Linked DNA regions of Xenopus tropicalis. The protein of the gene in region 2 purifies or fractionates together with the protein of the main gene of each other region. This does not show direct contact. Links are inferred from orthologs where the notes say so. Each region holds a gene or a part of one and is shown on either strand. Other genes may lie near its edges. The genes, in order: cnnm1, ptp4a1, cnnm4 and cnnm3.

Region 1 (4,271 bases), on a different chromosome or scaffold from region 2:
CATAATGTAACCAGGCTGATATTTAACTTCTCTGGAAGCTGGATAGTAGGGTTCTTGACAAGAATCTAGGCCAGTGATTCCCAACCAGTGGCTTGGGAGCAACATGTTGCTCACCAACCCCTTGGATGTTACTCCCAGTGGCCTTAAAGCAGATGCTTATTTTTGAATTTCTGGGTTTGAGGCAAGTTTTGGTTGCATAAAAACCTGGTGCAATGCCAAACAGAGCCTCCTAAAGGCTGCCAGTCCATATAGGGGTTACCAAATAGACAATATCAGCCCTTAAAGGAGAAGAAAAGGCAAAGTCACTTTGGGGGTGCCAAAATGATAGGCACCCCCAAGTGACTTGAATCGCTTACCTTGTACCCCGGGCTGGTGCCACTGTTCAGAGAGAACAGCACCAGCCCAAGGTAGCAGCGAGCGCTTCCTCCTTCCTGTCTCGCCGCGCGCGCATGCGCAGTAGAGTGAAGAGTTGAACTTTAACAGAGAAGTCGGCTTTTTCACTCTACTGCGCATGCACCTATTGTGTTAGTTGCAGCGAAACGAAGCCGGAAGGAGGAAGCGCCCGCTCCAGGGCTGTTTTCTCCTAACAAGGGCACCAGCCCGGGGTACAAGGTAAGCGATTAAAGTCACTTGGGGGCGCTTAACATTTTAGCACCCCCAAGTGACTTAGCCTTTCCTTCTCCTTTAAATGGCACCCCCAGGAAAGTTTTTATGCTTGTCAGGGGTGTATTTATAAAAAGGCCCTATGTATGGGGGCAGGTGCCTATGTTTTCTTTTTTTATTTAAAAAGAAAAGGGCCCCACAGCCTTCACTGCAGATTTCAATAGGAAATTTGGCGACGGAGCTGGGGGGTGATAGGATAGGGGGTCGCGGGCTCTGTGGAAGCGACTACAAGCGCACACTGAGTGTGACATCACTTCTGCAACATCGTCGCATGTGATTGCTCATGACGTCACGCGCACGACAAGGATGCGTGTGATGTTACAAGCACGCTGCCCATGATGTCATGCGCACAATGTAGGGGCGTATTTATGTTTGGTGCCTATGGCAGCACTGGACCTAATTACACCCCTGGCTTGTGTTGCTCCCCATCTCTTTATGTATCTAAATGTGGCTCACAGGTAAATAAGGTTGGGGAGCCTTGCCCTAAGCTACAGAACTCTTGGGCACCCAGTGTTGGACTGGCCCACCAGGATACCAGGAAAACTCCCGGTGCGCCCGGTGTCAGTGGGCCCTCCTGCTCCTGACCATTTGGCCTGCTTCATGGTCATTCCCTATTTCTGTATGGGAAGAAAGAGGAGAAATAGATGGAAGAATAGATGCTAGCAAGTAAATAAAAGAGACTGGGAGAATAAAAAGGTTGGGTGAGGAAAGGAGGGAAAATATTTAGGGGCCTAGGGTCAATAGTTATCTGGTGGGCCCCTGGGTTCCCAGTCCGACACTGAGGGAACCCATGGCACCAAGCAGAGCTCACCCTTCTTAAACTCCTCCAGCACAGCGTCCAGCTTGGTGTCGTTGAAGACGCAGTGCAGGGGCCGATGGTAGAAGCGAGTGACAGTCTGCAGAGGGGTGCAGTCATCCGGGTCCACAAACGCCAAGTCTTTGACAAACAAGATGTCAACTATGTTGGAGCGATCTTTCCCCTCGTACACTGGGATGCGGGTGTAGCCGCTGCGGAGAATCTCGGAGACCGTGCTGAAGTCGAGCACCGCGTCCGAACGCAGCATGAAGCAGTCCCCCAGCGGGGTGAACACATCTTCCACCGCCTTACTCCTCAGCTCCAGGGCCCCCTGGATGATGTTCAGTTCCTCCTTCACCAGATCGTTATAGGGGTCGGCAGCTCGGAGGGTCTCCAAAAGCTTTTCGCGGGTATAGAAGGTGCTGATCTCCTGCCGCAGGGCCCAGTCCAGCAAGCGGCTAAGGGGGAAGCACACGGGGAAGGCGACTGCCATGAGTAACCGAGTCAGCCACACGGTGCGGGAGGCGATAGCCAGGCCATGGCGGGAGCACACAGAGTAGGGGGCCACTTCGCCGCATAGGAAAACGCAGGCGGTGCACACCAAAACCGGTAGCCAATTCCCGGCGGGTGTGGGAGGCAGGGAAGAGCACAGCCAGCCGGCCAGGGAGGCATTGGCTAGTACGTGTCCGAGCAGAAGGGTGCAGAGCAGGTAGGAGCCGCTGCTGCGCACAGACTGGACCCTGCGGGCGTGTTCCTTCTCCGCGGGAGAGCCACTGTTCTGCAGCACCCGCAGCTCTACCGGGTCCAGAGACAGGAGACTGAGGCGGAGGCCGCAGAACAGAGCGGAGAAGCTCAGCAGGACAAGGGACACCAATAGCCGGAGCCAGACCGGCAGCCCTGCCTCAGCCTCTCGCACCTCCAGGGCAAAGTGGGCTCCGGCGTGATGTTCCCATCGCCTCCCGTCAAAGGCGCAAAGGGAGAAAAGCTTCCCCCGCTCGCCCTTCCTCAGCTCCCTCACCCGCACTTCCACCACCGCAGAGCCCACCAGGGCAGGGGAGGGCTGTAGCGGGCCCATCACTTCAACGTCCGAGGCCCATGTTCCCTCGTCCTGGCACGGATCGGAGCCATGGGACCGGGGTTCCTCGATAAACACCAGTCTGGGGCTGCTCGCGTTTTCCGATGTCGGGGTATTGTATAGGTGCGGGGGCTGTAGTTGCTGCGCCGGCAGAGGCGGCTGGAAATACACACGGAGTGTAAAGCGGCTTCCCTCGGATGCCCTCAGGGTACCACCTTCTAGGGTAACATGTCCGCCTACTGTATCCTCTGGCCTAAGCCCTAGCAGCCACAGGGAAACTGGCCGGGGAGAGAGGGATATGAAAAGGAGAAACACTGCCCCGGACCCGTAGCGGCCGCCGACGGCCTCCGCCATCGTGACAGTGTGACAGGTTGCGCGAAACGGGGAGGGACACACGTGATCGGCAGTAGCGCCAAGCCAGGCTTTCTATTGCTCCATTGCCCTGAGGTGGGACGCCTGTGGCGAAGCGGAGACGGGTTACTGAGGGGGGACACTGAGGGGAGACACTGAGGGGTAGCAGTCTGAGCTTGAAGGAATACCCGCGGCGCATTATATTCATGGCCTTAAATAAGTGAAGAGCTGCTTAGAAGTTTGCAGAAAAATGCATTGCGCAAGGTAAAATGTCCTTGACTGGCTATACAGGAGACTGTCAGAAATATATAGTCTTGTATAGTATAAACTACTTCCTGCTCGGTGGCATCACTAAAATGGGGTGCTCAGTCCCATGACTGACATAGGTTGCTCTTTGCCATGACTAAAATGGGTGCTCAGTCCCAGGACTGACATAGGTTGCTCTTTGGCATGACTAAAATGGGGTGCTCAGTCCCAGGACTGACATAGGTTGCTCTTTGGCATGACTAAAATGGGGTGCTCAGTCCCAGGACTGACACAGGTTGCTCTTTGGCATGACTAAAATGGGGTGCTCAGTCCCATGACTGACACAGGTTGCTCTTTGGCATGACTAAAATGGGGTGCTCAGTCCCATGACTGACACAGGTTGCTCTTTGGCATGACTAAAATGGGGTGCTCAGTCCCATGACTGACATAGGTTGCTCTTTGGCATGACTAAAATGGGGTGCTCAGTCCCATGACTGACATAGGTTGCTCTTTGCCATGACTAAAATGGGGTGCTCAGTTCCAGGACTGACATATGTTGCTCTTTGGTATGACTAAAATAGGGTGCTCAGTCCCATGACTGACATAGGTTGCTCTTTGGCATGACTAAAATGGGGTGCTCAGTCCCAGGACTGACATAGGTTGCTCTTTGGCATGACTAAAATGGGGTGCTCAGTCCCATGACTGGTATAGGTTGCTCTTTGGCATGACTAAAATGGGGTGCTCAGTCCCAGGACTGACATAGGTTGCTCTTTGGCATGACTAAAATGGGGTGCTCAGTCCCATGACTGACATAGGTTGCTCTTTGGCATGACTAAAATGGGGTGCTCAGTCCCATGACTGACATAGGTTGCTCTTTGGCATGACTAAAATGGGGTGCTCAGTCCCAGGACTGACATAGGTTGCTCTTTGGCATGACTAAAATAGGGTGCTCAGTCCCATGACTGACATAGGTTGCTCTTTGGCATGACTAAAATGGGGTGCTCAGTCCCATGACTGGTATAGGTTGTTTTGTGGCATAATTAACATGGTGTGCTCAGTCAACAACATGGGGAAAGAGTTGCAATCTTATACAAGATTGTGCTGTGCTTCTAGTTTTCAAGTAGAGTGCGGCCATAGTCC
Region 2 (4,616 bases):
ATCTACAATCTGATTGGATGGAGGTGCACCATCATCAAATGGCCAATCCTACAAAACAAACATGCAATGAGGATTTGATAGGATTTGTAGTGCTAGAAAGTATAAACCTATGCTTGGGTTAAAGAGGGCAGAAGACCTGGCTGTTTACTTCAGATGTTCAACAGAAAAAAAAAAAAAAAAAATAGGTATAAACCACATACTGGCTCATTTGAAATATTTATTTGTAAAAAGCACACACTCATGAACAGTTCTTGGTCTGCCTGCTTTTTGAGGCATGGGGCACTGCCCATTTTTCAGCAGATGTCAAAAATGCTGGCAGAGGAACACACCACTTAACATCTGCGCAACCAGCAGGCAAGGAAATGGATGGGTCTTGTAACACCATTCTGCCCTCATACCATGAAGGGGACACCTTTTCACTTTTGCAACAAGTATGTGCTGCAGTTTGATTTCACTATGATGTTTGTTTAAAGCCTAGGCAAGGGGTCATGTGACTGCTTAGCACCCGACTGAAAAGGTCATGGCAAGGTGGTAGAGGCACACACCAATCGAGTGAGTACTCATACCATGAAGCGACCTGAAAGCTTTTATGGATCCTGATGTCATTTTCTGCAGTAACTTATCAATGTTGCTCTCCCATGCAGAAAACAGACTACAAGTGTATTGTATCTTATGCAGCATGGAGGGTCTGCATTGTGGGGAATATAACCCTATGTATTATTTTGAGCATCATTTTCCTATAAGTAGCTGGGAGGTTACTGTATAGTGGGTTGCTTTTAAGCTATCAGTTATTAGTAATTTTAGCCAATGTTATAAATCTGTGAACATGAAAGCATGATCAAGTAGCTTACATAAAACCACCTGATAGGTGTCAGTTATAACCTTTTTAAACATCATTTAAAATTAGTGCCTCACCCAGAGGAGCTTACAGGTAGCCATAAAAAAATCATTTCAGTCCAGGTCATGTTATACTATAGAAACCCAGTACAGTAGCGTCAATGCATTTATGTGTGGGATGAGTTGCTGATCTAGTCCTGTATTTCTAAATAAGTAAGCCCATCTAAAATCTGAGTTATCATCACTCATAATTGCAAACTGCTTATGCAATGCCAACTTTGAAATATCAAATAATTACATAAGATAACTCAGTTTTCCTTTACTTAAAGGAGGAGGAAATGTAAAAATTACTGGCAGGTACCAAATGTTAAGCACTGTTAATCACTATTACAATCAGTGATTGTAATTGCTTACAGGGCTTGTGCTCCTGTTAGGAGATAACCACACCACCCCGGGGTAGTGTTCCTCTTACTACTTCTCTTTGCGCCACTTGCACAGTAAAGTGAAAAGCCAAACCTAAACAAAAAAGGTTGGTATTTTCATTCTGCTACACATGTGTCAGCCTTGGGATTCATAATGAAGAGACACGGAAGAGGATCACTCGCTCACAGCTACTCCAGTCTGGTGCCGTTTTCTCCTAACAGGAGCACCAGCCCAAAGTAAAAGGTAAGTGATCAGAATCACCTAACATTTGGCACCCCCAGTGATTTTTAACTGTCAAACACTACCCTATCACATACAAATTAGGGCTACAGCACATCAGGCATTTTCTCCATGAGTGTATTTCAGTCATCAAAATAGTGCCTTAACACTTTGAAATTTACTCACCAAAACTTGAATTCCTTCCTTTTCGACTAGAGCAGTATCATAAGTGGCTTCACACACTCTTACTAATGTTGTAACACCATATTTTTTAAGCTCCTATAAGAGATTTGTGAGAAAACAGCATTAATGTTGGACTTTCTTAAAAGGTGCATTTATTTCAAGATCATGGCCTATAACCTATACTAGCAATCCTTCACCCACATCTCATTTAAAAACATGGTTCTATTGGGTAGAACCATGTAACTGCAATGAAACACAATACCCATGACAAAACCAATACTTGTGTATTTATTTTTGGTTTCTAGTAAGTACAATATTACTGCTTTCATTCATTAACTGGATAGCCACAAGCATTTGAGGCTTATGTGATAAACTGCAATAACACAATGGCATGACACAAACAAGCCAATTAGCAAGTGCTTTCACAAAAAGCAGGCTTATCAATTTAAGAAATAGTATTCTCTCCTTTATAAATGACAGAATTAACTAAAACTCAAACTGTTAAAGGCAGAGAAGTCTATATAAAAGGTGTTTTTGTGAGAACCAGTACTATATAAAATTAAAGCTAAAAATAAATTCAATTTACTTTTTACTGAGGTATATTACTGCTGCATTATGTTTAAAAGGATAAGTAAGACTTATCAAAATCTTTTTAAAAGACTTCATATAGCCCCAAAATAACATCCCTTTCTTCTTGCACTCCGTTTCAGCTCTCAGCTACCTTCTAGTCGAGCATAAAGCTCTTTGCTGGGCTTTTTTCTGAGTGTAAAAACAGTTGAAGGTGTCTACTGCACATGCCTGATTGATTTCGATTGAAGCAGAGGCAGCAAGAACGTGCCGCAGACACTTCTTTGAGCATCTCCATTCAGAGAGGAGGATAGTTCAGAAAAGAGGTAGGAACTTCAGCTCTCTGCTGCTTCCTAGTCTAGTGTGAAGTTGAGAGGCTTGTGATACAGAATTTACATGAGAATGCAGCGATAAAGGCATGTTATTCTGGTAACATTTTAAGAGTCATTTTAGAGAGAAAAAACAGTTTCATTATTCTTTAACTTCCCATTTTACAGCAAAGTTCACTTAGTCTTACCTCTATAAACTTGTTTAGAGTTGCATTGGTGGGGTTGTGTGTTATGAGGAATCTCATGTTCTTGTAGGTTATCTCCACTGGAGCTGGGCGGTTCATTCTGGCCATTTTAAATTAGTAAAAAATGTGCACGGTTTAAAAAAGGAAGAGTGTTTGGGGGCAACTAAAAGTTAATCAAAAGAAATTATGCTTGTAGCTGAAGTCAACTTCACTCTACTCCACGGGAAAATTCTCAGTGCTTGCTTGGATGGAAGCAATGGAAGCGAAATGGACCTCCGTATGAGAAGCAGCAAATCTTCAAATCAGTAATACTGAGGCAAAAGAAATGCAGTGCACTGAGGTTTACCCCATCCAGATTTCAGCCCCTTAAGCAAAGTGCTCAATCAAATTCAGTTTTAATCCAACACTTCTTGTACAGGCCGACTGCTCTTAGGGGGGTTTCTTGGTGGAGTAGTAATGAATTTCTTCTACAGTTCACTTGTCAGCATAGAGCTCATGCTGTGCCTGGCAGTAGTCTCCACTGCCCTTCAGAAACTCCATAAATGTGTGACCAAGAACACCACAGAACTGCTGTTGAAAAAGAGGGGGAAACAATGCTCTTTTAATATGCTGAAAGTTTTCATAAAAGCTAGCACAGCCATAAACCTAAGTGGCATATATTTACGCCCCATATCATTGTTCATGCATAAAAAGACAATATATAAAATATTAACTGAAAATACACAATTTAAATATTGCTTCATTATGCAAAACTTTTTGCCTGTTATTGAAGAGATAAAGCCACATTGTTCACACATTTCACACAAGGCATATGAACTCAGTTTAGTGCAAAATGTGGCAGTAACGTGATAAGCCTAAAAACTTATCAGTACTGATGGGCAAATCAGTCTTTACACCAAAACTTCGCTAAACACATGAAGTCAATAGGCGCCTTTTTGTGTTGAATTTTTCATGCATTTTTTTTCCTTACAATCCATTGTCTATGCGCATTTTTTTTCCTTACAATCCATTGTCTATGCATTTTTTTTTTTGCAGAAAAACCTGGTGAAAAGTTTTACCCACTGCTACTTATGAGACAAAAAGAATATTCTGGCTGATAGAACAGACACACAGCTACAGTTTTAGGACAGTAGGGCTGGGCGATATGCCGTTTAATACCGAATACCTTTTTTTTTTTTTTAAAAACTATATTCATTTTTCAGATACCGCAATACCGGGGTGTCAGGGTACTCACCCGTGCGGCCCAGTCTCGCACGCCTCCTTGCGTGGGCATCCCGTTGTCCGCGGGACGTTGCGCACGCGTGTCAAAGCGCACATACATGTCAAAGCGGCCACGTCCGCGACGCGCCGGTTCTGTGCATGCGTGGGGGGTATTTAAAGCTATCAAACTTTCTGTTGCCGATCCTTCGCTTGCCTGACTCTGATTTTCAATACTGCAGTAATTATTCTCTAATTTATTAGGAAATGGGGTTAACACCTAATCATGCATGGAAAAAAAATACCGTCAAATACCGTGACACCGATATAATTTTGAAAAATACTGTGATATAAATTTTTGGTCATACCGCCCAGCTCTACCCGACAGCCCTGATCAGTGCCAATTGTTGAAAAATTCTTCTAACACAATCTATATTCCAAGAGGACAGAACAGAGCACCAATCGGGGCATCCTTTTATCAAAAGGCAATTTAATTGCTGAGCAATTATTAGAGTAAATGCTTAATGGAATGTACCAGCATATATCAACTGACCAGATCTGTGTTTATCTCCCTGTGCAGTGGCATAACTAATTGAAGCCCCAAAAAGAGGTCAGTAACAGATGGGGTTGCAAGCCCAAAACCAATAGCATTATGTCCCTGTCCGGAGAAACAAAC
Region 3 (3,819 bases), on a different chromosome or scaffold from region 2:
TAGAAGCAGCATATTTTGTATAATTCTGGCCCAGTAAACAGCAAGGGGGTTAGTGGGTGCATGGCAGTGGGTTAGCTAATTTACTAGTTAATAGATATGAGCACAAACCATGCTTTATCATAAAGGGTCTGAAACTATTAACTGTCAAAACTTGTATTAAGCAACCGCCCACCCCACCTATGTCTTAGGCCACTTGTGTGTGTGAATATCATGCACACCCAATACACACACATGCAGGCTTCTCATTTACCTGCTAACCTGGAAAAGAGAGAACCCCTTTTAAGGACGGTACAGGGATGGGCAGGAGCTGAATAGAATGGAAGAAAATAAATTGGGGTGGGTGACTTCGCTCTGGAACAGACATGTGTGCTGTGGCACCAATGTTTGGAACATAAAACTGGGGCAAGGTCTTACCAGCAGCTGATGGAGTGTTTATGGCCATGACACCATAGTAGGAGAAGGCTCCCGATTCAAACTTCATGTTCTCTTTGCCAGCTTCTACTTCAACTTTCCCCTAAAAAAAAAAAAGTAATGGATACATTTAAAATCTGCATCAGTGCTGAAAAGCAATACAAAGTGTTTAGTGAGGCAGGTAAGTACCAGGGGAAACAGGCAATTAATATTAGTATTAAATATAAAATGTATATATAAATGTAGTTATTGAATTATTTGCAAGCTTTCAAACATGAGTCACTGACCCTGGCAGCCAAAAAAACTATTGCTCTGTATTATTACTATTATTACTGTAGTATTACTTTTTAATACACATCTTTATATTTAGGCCCTCTCCTGTTTATATTCCTTTCTCTTCTTCAACCCACTGCCTGGTTGCTAGGTTAAATTGCAGGGCTGTGGAGTCGGAGTCAATTTTGGGTACCTGGAGTCGGAAAAAAATGAACCGACTCCGACTCCTACTAAATTTAAATGGGAATAAAAAAAATAAATAAATAAAAAGCAAGTTTAAATGTCCCAATTCACAAACAGTCATAATTAATTACTTCTCTGCTATAAGAATAAAGCCCAATGCATGCAGTGCATAAACGAACACGTGACCATGAAGCTTTTCATTGGCTGTATGCTTCACTAAATGGGGCGTAACGCACAGTTACGGTGCGGCAGCTCCACTGCGTCGTGTTCCTCTGTTACAGGGAACACAATGCCCACTGGGAACCTAGCCTAACTCCATACCTCCCAACTGTCCCGCTTTACACGGGACAGTCCCAATTTTGCCTCTCTGTCCCGCTGTCCCGGACAGCCACCGAATTGTCCCGATTTTAAAATTCTCCCGTGACGTCACACACGTCGTTCGTTAGCGCTGCAGCTTCTGCGCCGCACTGGTCAGTTCTAACATTTAGGGATTCACTGTGCAGAAGCTGCGGGGCTAACGAAAGATGCGTGTGACGTCACGGGGAGGAGAAGAAGAGCCGGGGCAAGCGGGCGGGGGGTGGTAGGAGCAGTGGGAGGGAAGGTAAGGGGCAGCTGGAGGACACTGGGAGGCAGCTGGAGGAAGGTAAGGGGCAGCTGGAGGACGCTGGGAGGCAGCTGGAGAAACTAAGGTAAGGGGCAGCTGGGGGACGATGGGGAGGATTTTGGGTGGATGCTGGGGGGAGCTGGAGGATGTTGGGGAGAACACTGGGGGGAGCTGGAGGATGTTGCGTGGATGCTGGGGGGAGCTGGAGGATGCTGGGGAGTTTAGAGGATGTTGGGGGGATGCTGCTGGGGGGAGCTGGAGGATTTTGGGTGGATGCTGGGGGGAGCTGGAGGATGTTGGGAGGATGCTGGGGGGAGCTCAAGGATGTTGGGGAGGACACTGGGGGGAGCTGGAGGATGTTGGGTGGATGCTGGATGGAGCTGGAGGATGCTGGGGAGTTTAGAGGATGTTGGGAGGATGCTGGTGGAGCTGGAGGATGTTGGGGGGAGCTGGAGGATGTTGGGAGGATGATGGGGGGAGCTGGCGGATGATGGGGGGGGAACTGTAGGAAGTTGGGGAGGATGCTCCAGTGGGAAGTGGCCCATAGTATGGGGATACTGGGGGAGGACCAGCAATGTTTTAGGAGGCTCTGGGCTGGCTTGGCTAGCAATGTTTTAGGGGGCCCATGCTCTGGCACCAATGCAAAACATAAAACCTGGCTAGCAATGTTTTAGGGGGGCCCTGACGACCAATGTTTTAGGGGGCCCTGGCTAGCTATGTCTTTCATGAGTCATAATATACAGGTGCCACAGTGCATAATGAAATCCTTGGGTCCACAATATGTCATAAAATGATTGGGGCTACTGTGTCTGTCTTCTGGTGCGCTTTTGTGTATTTTATACTTTTCGCGTGTGGTTTTGTAAAATGGTCCTGTTGGGGGGCGTGGCCATAAAGTGGGCATGGCCTAAAATATATTTTTGTCCCTCTTTCTGCTTTTCAAATGTTGGGAGGTATGCTAACTCTCACCGATAACTAATTAAGTAAAAAAAATTTGCAGGACTAGAAATACTTGTATACGTGAAGGGAATGGATAGTCAATAGTTTAAAGGAACAGTAACCAAAAAATGAAAGTGTATAAAAGTAACAAATATAATGTGCTGCTGCCCTGCACTGTGTGTTTACTTCAGAAAATCTCCTATAATTTATATCATACATGTCAAACACAAGGCCCGCGGGCCAAATCCGGCCCGCCAGGCCTTGCAATGTGGCCCGCACTGCGCTGTCATCACTGCACGCACGCGCAAAAACATACCTTCTTCGTCAGCGCCAGCGGCTCCTTCTCTCTTATGCCGCGGCAACAGGCCCTTTTATAAGGTTGCGCCCGTGCGTATGACGTCACACATCAGTGACGAGGCGCAACCTTATAGTAGTGCCTGTTGCCGCGGCATAAGAGAGAAGGAGCCGCCAACATCACTGGTCTGTTGGGGGTACTTTCTGTGGGGGCTCTGTGTGTGCGGGCTGGCTACTGTCTATGGGGGGTACTGTGTATGATGAGGCAATTGGGGGTACTTATTTTTGGGGGCACTGTTTATGGGGGCAATTGGGGGTACTTTGTATGGGGGTACTTTGTATGGGGGCACTGTGTGTGGGGGCTACTGTCTATGGGGGGTACTGTGTATGAGGCAATTGGGGGCAGTGTGTGTGGGGGCTACTGTCTATGGGGGGTACTGTGTATGAGGCAATTGGGGGCACTGTTTATGGGGGCAATTGGGGGTACTTTCTATGGGGGCACTGTGTGTGGGGGCTACTGTCTATGGGGGGTACTGTGTATGAGGCAATTGGGGGCAGTGTGTGTGGGGGCTACTGTCTATGGAGGGTACTGTTTATGGGGGCAATTGGGGGCACTGTTTATGGGGGCAATTGGGGGTACTTTCTATGGGGGCAATTGGGGGTACTTTCTATGGGGGCAATTGGGGGTACTTTCTATGGGGGCAATTGGGGGCACTGTGTGTGGGGGCTACTGTCTATGGAGGGGTACTGTGTATGAGGCAATTGGGGGCACTGTGTGTGGGGGCTACTGTCTATGGGGGGGTACTGTGTATGATGAGGCAATTGGGGGTACTTATTTTTGGGGGCACTGTTCAGTAAACCATTCGGCCCGCGATTTAGGCTGGATTTTAGATTTTGGCCCCTTCTCTGATTGAGTTCGACACCCCTGATTTATATAAATAAGCTGCCGTGTAATATGGGGGCAGCCGTTCCTGCACTGGTACAGCTGGGGTGTTTGCTACAGAAACCCTACTATAGTTTATATAAATACCCCGCTGTGTAGCCCCGGGGGCAGCCGTTCCTGCACTGGTACAGCTGGGGTGTTTGCTACAGAAACCCTACTATAGTTTATATAAATA
Region 4 (4,385 bases), on a different chromosome or scaffold from region 2:
AGGACAGCTCTTCCCCACCACGGGGTATTAGTATTGGCTGCACTGGCTGACGCTTCTTCTTGACTTTGCGCTCTGTGGAAGAATTAAAGGTGCAACAAATATCAGCATAGGTGGGTCATGATGACATCTAATATGATCTACATTATAACAGCATGTCTGACCTACAATCAACTCCCAGTTTAAAAAAGTACCGAGCTCTGTTCTCAAGCGCAGCTATAAACAATTCCTATATTTAATATCGGTATAAATGTCTAATCAGATAAATAGGAATCTCCTTACTGCAGTCTTCAGACTCGTCCAAAATTTCTGATTTTATGATCTCTTCTATGACATCTTCGAGGGTTACCAGCCCCATAACTTCATAGAACGGATCTCCTTCTCCCTCGTTATTCACTTTCTGTACAATGGCCATGTGGGACTTGCCTATGAAACCAAGTCACAGAGGCAGAATTACCAGGTGGCATTTAAAACACAGTGACAAAAAAATACAGACAATATATATATATTTTGCCCAAGCTACATAGGCAAACGTTATACAATTATACTTGCATTAAATTCGCTGAATACAATATATGGGATGCTATTGTCATATTTAAGATGTCCCTCAAAGGAGTGGCCAGTGTAAAGGCCACTCAGGGTGACATTTAGGCTAAACACTTACTTGATATCCTAGCTATCCTAATTTTTACAGTTTATTAATATATCTGTACCCTTGTTATGAGTGAAGAACCTAGAGAGGACACACAGGCTTGCTCACATTCTCATACGACTCTTGCATACCACAACCCCTCACCCTTCTTGAACTCCTCCAGCACAGCGTCCAGTTTGGTGTCGCTAAACACAAAGTGGACAGGGTGGCTGTAAAAGCGAGTGATGTAGTTCAGTGGAGTGCAGTCTTGTGGGTCCACAAAAGCCAGGTCCTTGGCATAGAGGATATCCACGATGTTGGAGCGCTCGTTTTCATATACTGGGATGCGGGTATAGCCACTCTCCATGATGCTGGACATGGTGTTGAAGTCTAACAAGGCATCACTGGGAAGCATAAAGCATTCAACCACAGGGGTCAGTATGTCCTCTACTGTCCGATTCCTCAGGGCCCCCTTGCTGAATTCATCTCTTACTAATTCACTGTAAGGGTCCCCACATCGGGCCATTTCCAATATACGGACTCTTTGTCGGCAGCAGCTAGGATCCTGCCCAAATGCTGCCTCCAGAAGCCATGACAGAGGGAATGAGAGGAGCCCAGCGAGGAACATGAAAAAATGGGTAAGCCACAGGCACTTGGGTGCTAGAATGAGCCCCCAGCGAGAACTTACTGCAGCTGGTAGCGCCTCACCAGCCAATAAAAGCAGTCCAGCTGCTGAGAAAATAGCTGCAGGGATTGAACCTATAGCATGGTAAAGAAGAACAGCCACAGCTGAGTTAGTAAGGCAGCAAAGGGCCAACATGGAGATCAGTGTGTACCCACCCCAGCGCGTCCGCAGGGGGTCCAACCGAGTGGCCCCATGTCTTTCACTGGGGGTTCCCCAATCCCGCAACAGGCCAAGCTCTGAGGGTTCTAGGGCCAGAGTGCTGAGCTGCAGCCCCCTGAGCAAGCCAGAGAAAAGGATACACAGGACAATAAGAAGAGCCAGGAGCCAGGAAGCCAAATACTGCCTTGCATTAGTCTCAGGGGGTGCTACAGAGGGAGTTTCATCCCTAAAACTAAGCAGGCGGGAACTGAGGGAGCCCAAAGTACACTGTTGTTCATCTCCTGGCCAGGGGGGCTTCTCTTCCTCCTCATCGCCCCCCAGCACGGTAATGAGTGTGTCTCCGCCGGGGAATGGAGCCCAGCTGTTTCCTTGGCGGGTACAGAGGGGGTACAGGAGGCCTCTGCCCTTACTCTCATTGAGAGCCCGGACAGTGACCAGGCCAGAGTGCTCGCTGCACACTCGGAACTCTTCCAGCAGTTGGAGGGGCGAGTCTGGCTCTGGAGAACATGTCTTGCTTCCGGGGCTGCCAATGGAGACCCAGGGCCAGGTGTCATTTCGCAGCCCCGATCCATAAAGACGGAGGCGGAAGGACGAACCAGGGCGAGCTCTGATCAGCCCGCCGCTCATTGACACGCCAGCTCCCTCCTCCAGCCGTAGCCCTAACACCTGGGCTTCAACGCTGCCATCTTCAAGCGCAAAAGCCACCCCGGTGTCACCGAACCCGGCCAGAAGCAGCAACCCAACCACGGCTACCGCCATGTTGGAAGAGGCAGAACAGCCTCTTCTGTGCCTTTGACAGCTCAACCAATCAGGTGAACGCCGCCGCATTCGCTCAGCCAGTGAGAAGCTCGGTGAATAAGTCGAGCCTATAAAATGGAGGAGGTGCGGCAGAGGGCGGAGCTACACTGTAAGCAACTGTAAACAAGGACAAAAAGCTGTGGAAGATTTAAATCTTTTGTTAGTTCTGCGGCGTTCAACGGCTCCACTTCTCCTCAGGAACTGGGCCCCTCGGGCACTGTGACCTGTCCCTCTTAGGCACAGTAATACGATAGCTTACAGTGAACGTCAGCCCCTCCCACCGTACTCCTACTAAACCTTTAGCATTATGGGTGTTGTAGTTTCTCATGTCTGCTCACGAATACACCCTAAATCTCAGATTTCACTGCCTCTCTCACCTCCAGAAGCTAATCCTATAAGGAGCATATGAGCCTGCATAAGGTTGAAGTCTATATAAAGATCAATACAAAATCTTAATATAACATACCTTTCACATGCACTGATAAACCATTTCCTACACTGTTCTATATAAAGCAATGGCTGAATCTCATACTTTAACCAGGGGCCCCATTTAGTAGCCTAACAACAAACCCCATAAGCACCATAATTCCCCCAGGACAGCCCTGCTCAGCTGCCATAACTGGGTGCATGGGCATTCCAAGCAAGGAACGTTTTGTTTGTCAGCAATGGGTGACAGAGAGCAGAAGTCGAGCGCCCAATCACACGGCCACAGTGGGGGAGCAGGGCTGCCCCAGGGAGTTTCTTTGCTGTTGTTGGGAAATTAAGGGGGGGGGGGCAATAGAGGGCTTCTCCAATGTAAATGTCAAAAAGCACACAAACCCATTAAATAATAAACTCTTTAATAATTAAACAATTTAGAATATACAGCCATCCAAAAATCGTACCATTCTTTCCATCTGTAAAAGGCAAAAAAAAAAAAGGGAAAAACCAAAAATAAATAAATATTTGCAAACAATTCCCTTATTTGTGCAGAAAGCCCCCCCCCCCCCCCCCCCCAATAGTACAGAGTGTTATTTCCCAATCCCTGATTAGGAGGGCCCAGCCTGCCACCCTACACACAGCAGCTGCTGCTGACCCTAAAGCAAAACACATCTATGGCTTGTGCAGATACTGTATTCAGCACTTATTTAGCAGGCAAAAGGTCTTTTATGGAAACCAAAAAAAAGATAGAGCAGGTAAAAAGGAGGTCAGTTTCATCCAAAAAATGCAAGTTTAACTTGTTGGAACCTGCACGGCAATCAGAGGGGATGTGTGTTTACGACAGGAATTCCCAGGAACCGAGACTGAATACTTGTGCAATACTAGAAGTTCTTTGTTCACTTTTTTCCTTCAAGCAACAGCAGGTCATTAGATAAGGCCAATACGCCTATGGTTGAGAGGATACAAGTACAAAGGGAACATGGGTATCCATACAAAAAAAAAAAATTGTGAAATCTTAGTACATTAAAGGGGAACTCTCTCAATAGTTATATGTAATAAACTACAGCTTACTAAAACAAGGAACATTTGTAAATTTAATGAAAAATTCATAGTAGTATGTAAGTCTTAGTTCCCCTTATGCCTCTTTCAGGAGCCCTTCTTCTGCAGGACAGGAAATTTATTGTAAAATAAATGACAATATTCACTGATTGCTTGTTGGCCAATCATGTTCACCTTGCTCTCAAACAGTTAGGCCTAGTGCTTGCCTTCTCTCATGCGCATTCAGTTACACTGTTACAGGTAGCGCACAGCCCCCTAAATCTTAAACAGGACAGTTCACCTTTAACTTTCAGTAGGTTGGACAATTCACAATGTCCCATATTTTTTTTTTTTTTTAATTGATTTAGAGTATTGTTCTTTCTATTTTTTTCCCCTTTTCTATTCATTTTCCAATTGTCAAGGTAAATCGGCCCTAGCAACCAGATAGCTGAAATGCTAAACTGTTGCTGAACAAAAAGATGACCAATTGCAAATGACCTCAGATAACCACTGTCTACACTGTCACACTAAAAGTTAATTTAAAGGTAAGCTACCCCTTGAACACGAAACCCCTCAATCTGGAGACAGGAACAAGGTGATTACAATTTGCCAAAAGTAATCTAACAAGCAACCAATGAATACAATGAATAACATGCA

Evidence for each region.
Region 1: the proteins of ptp4a1 (region 2) and cnnm1 purify together in Homo sapiens (affinity purification with mass spectrometry; 4 studies listed by BioGRID and IntAct, with this or other methods). This does not show direct contact. The link is inferred for Xenopus tropicalis from reciprocal best matches to the Homo sapiens genes PTP4A1 and CNNM1.
Region 3: the proteins of ptp4a1 (region 2) and cnnm4 purify together in Homo sapiens (affinity purification with mass spectrometry; 6 studies listed by BioGRID and IntAct, with this or other methods). This does not show direct contact. The link is inferred for Xenopus tropicalis from reciprocal best matches to the Homo sapiens genes PTP4A1 and CNNM4.
Region 4: the proteins of ptp4a1 (region 2) and cnnm3 purify together in Homo sapiens (affinity purification with mass spectrometry; 6 studies listed by BioGRID and IntAct, with this or other methods). This does not show direct contact. The link is inferred for Xenopus tropicalis from reciprocal best matches to the Homo sapiens genes PTP4A1 and CNNM3.

What each region holds. Positions count from the first base shown.
Region 1 is NC_030683.2:35,150,689-35,154,959, reverse strand, and holds the start of cnnm1 (metal transporter CNNM1), read right to left. Parts: upstream 3,014-4,271; 5' UTR 2,889-3,013; coding exon 1,475-2,888; intron 1-1,474. UniProt on the Homo sapiens protein: Probable metal transporter.
Region 2 is NC_030681.2:94,857,844-94,862,459, forward strand, and holds the start of ptp4a1 (protein tyrosine phosphatase type IVA 1), read right to left. Parts: upstream 3,013-4,616; 5' UTR 2,852-3,012; coding exon 2,747-2,851; intron 1,759-2,746; coding exon 1,666-1,758; intron 49-1,665; coding exon 1-48. UniProt on the Homo sapiens protein: Protein tyrosine phosphatase which stimulates progression from G1 into S phase during mitosis. May play a role in the development and maintenance of differentiating epithelial tissues.
Region 3 is NC_030679.2:125,249,336-125,253,154, reverse strand, and holds part of cnnm4 (metal transporter CNNM4 precursor), read right to left. Parts: intron 515-3,819; coding exon 415-514; intron 308-414; coding exon of another isoform or gene 243-307; exon of another isoform or gene 205-242; intron 1-204. UniProt on the Homo sapiens protein: Probable metal transporter. The interaction with the metal ion chaperone COX11 suggests that it may play a role in sensory neuron functions. May play a role in biomineralization and retinal function.
Region 4 is NC_030679.2:125,259,654-125,264,038, reverse strand, and holds the start of cnnm3 (metal transporter CNNM3), read right to left. Parts: upstream 2,896-4,385; 5' UTR 2,301-2,895; coding exon 794-2,300; intron 424-793; coding exon 280-423; intron 73-279; coding exon 1-72. UniProt on the Homo sapiens protein: Probable metal transporter.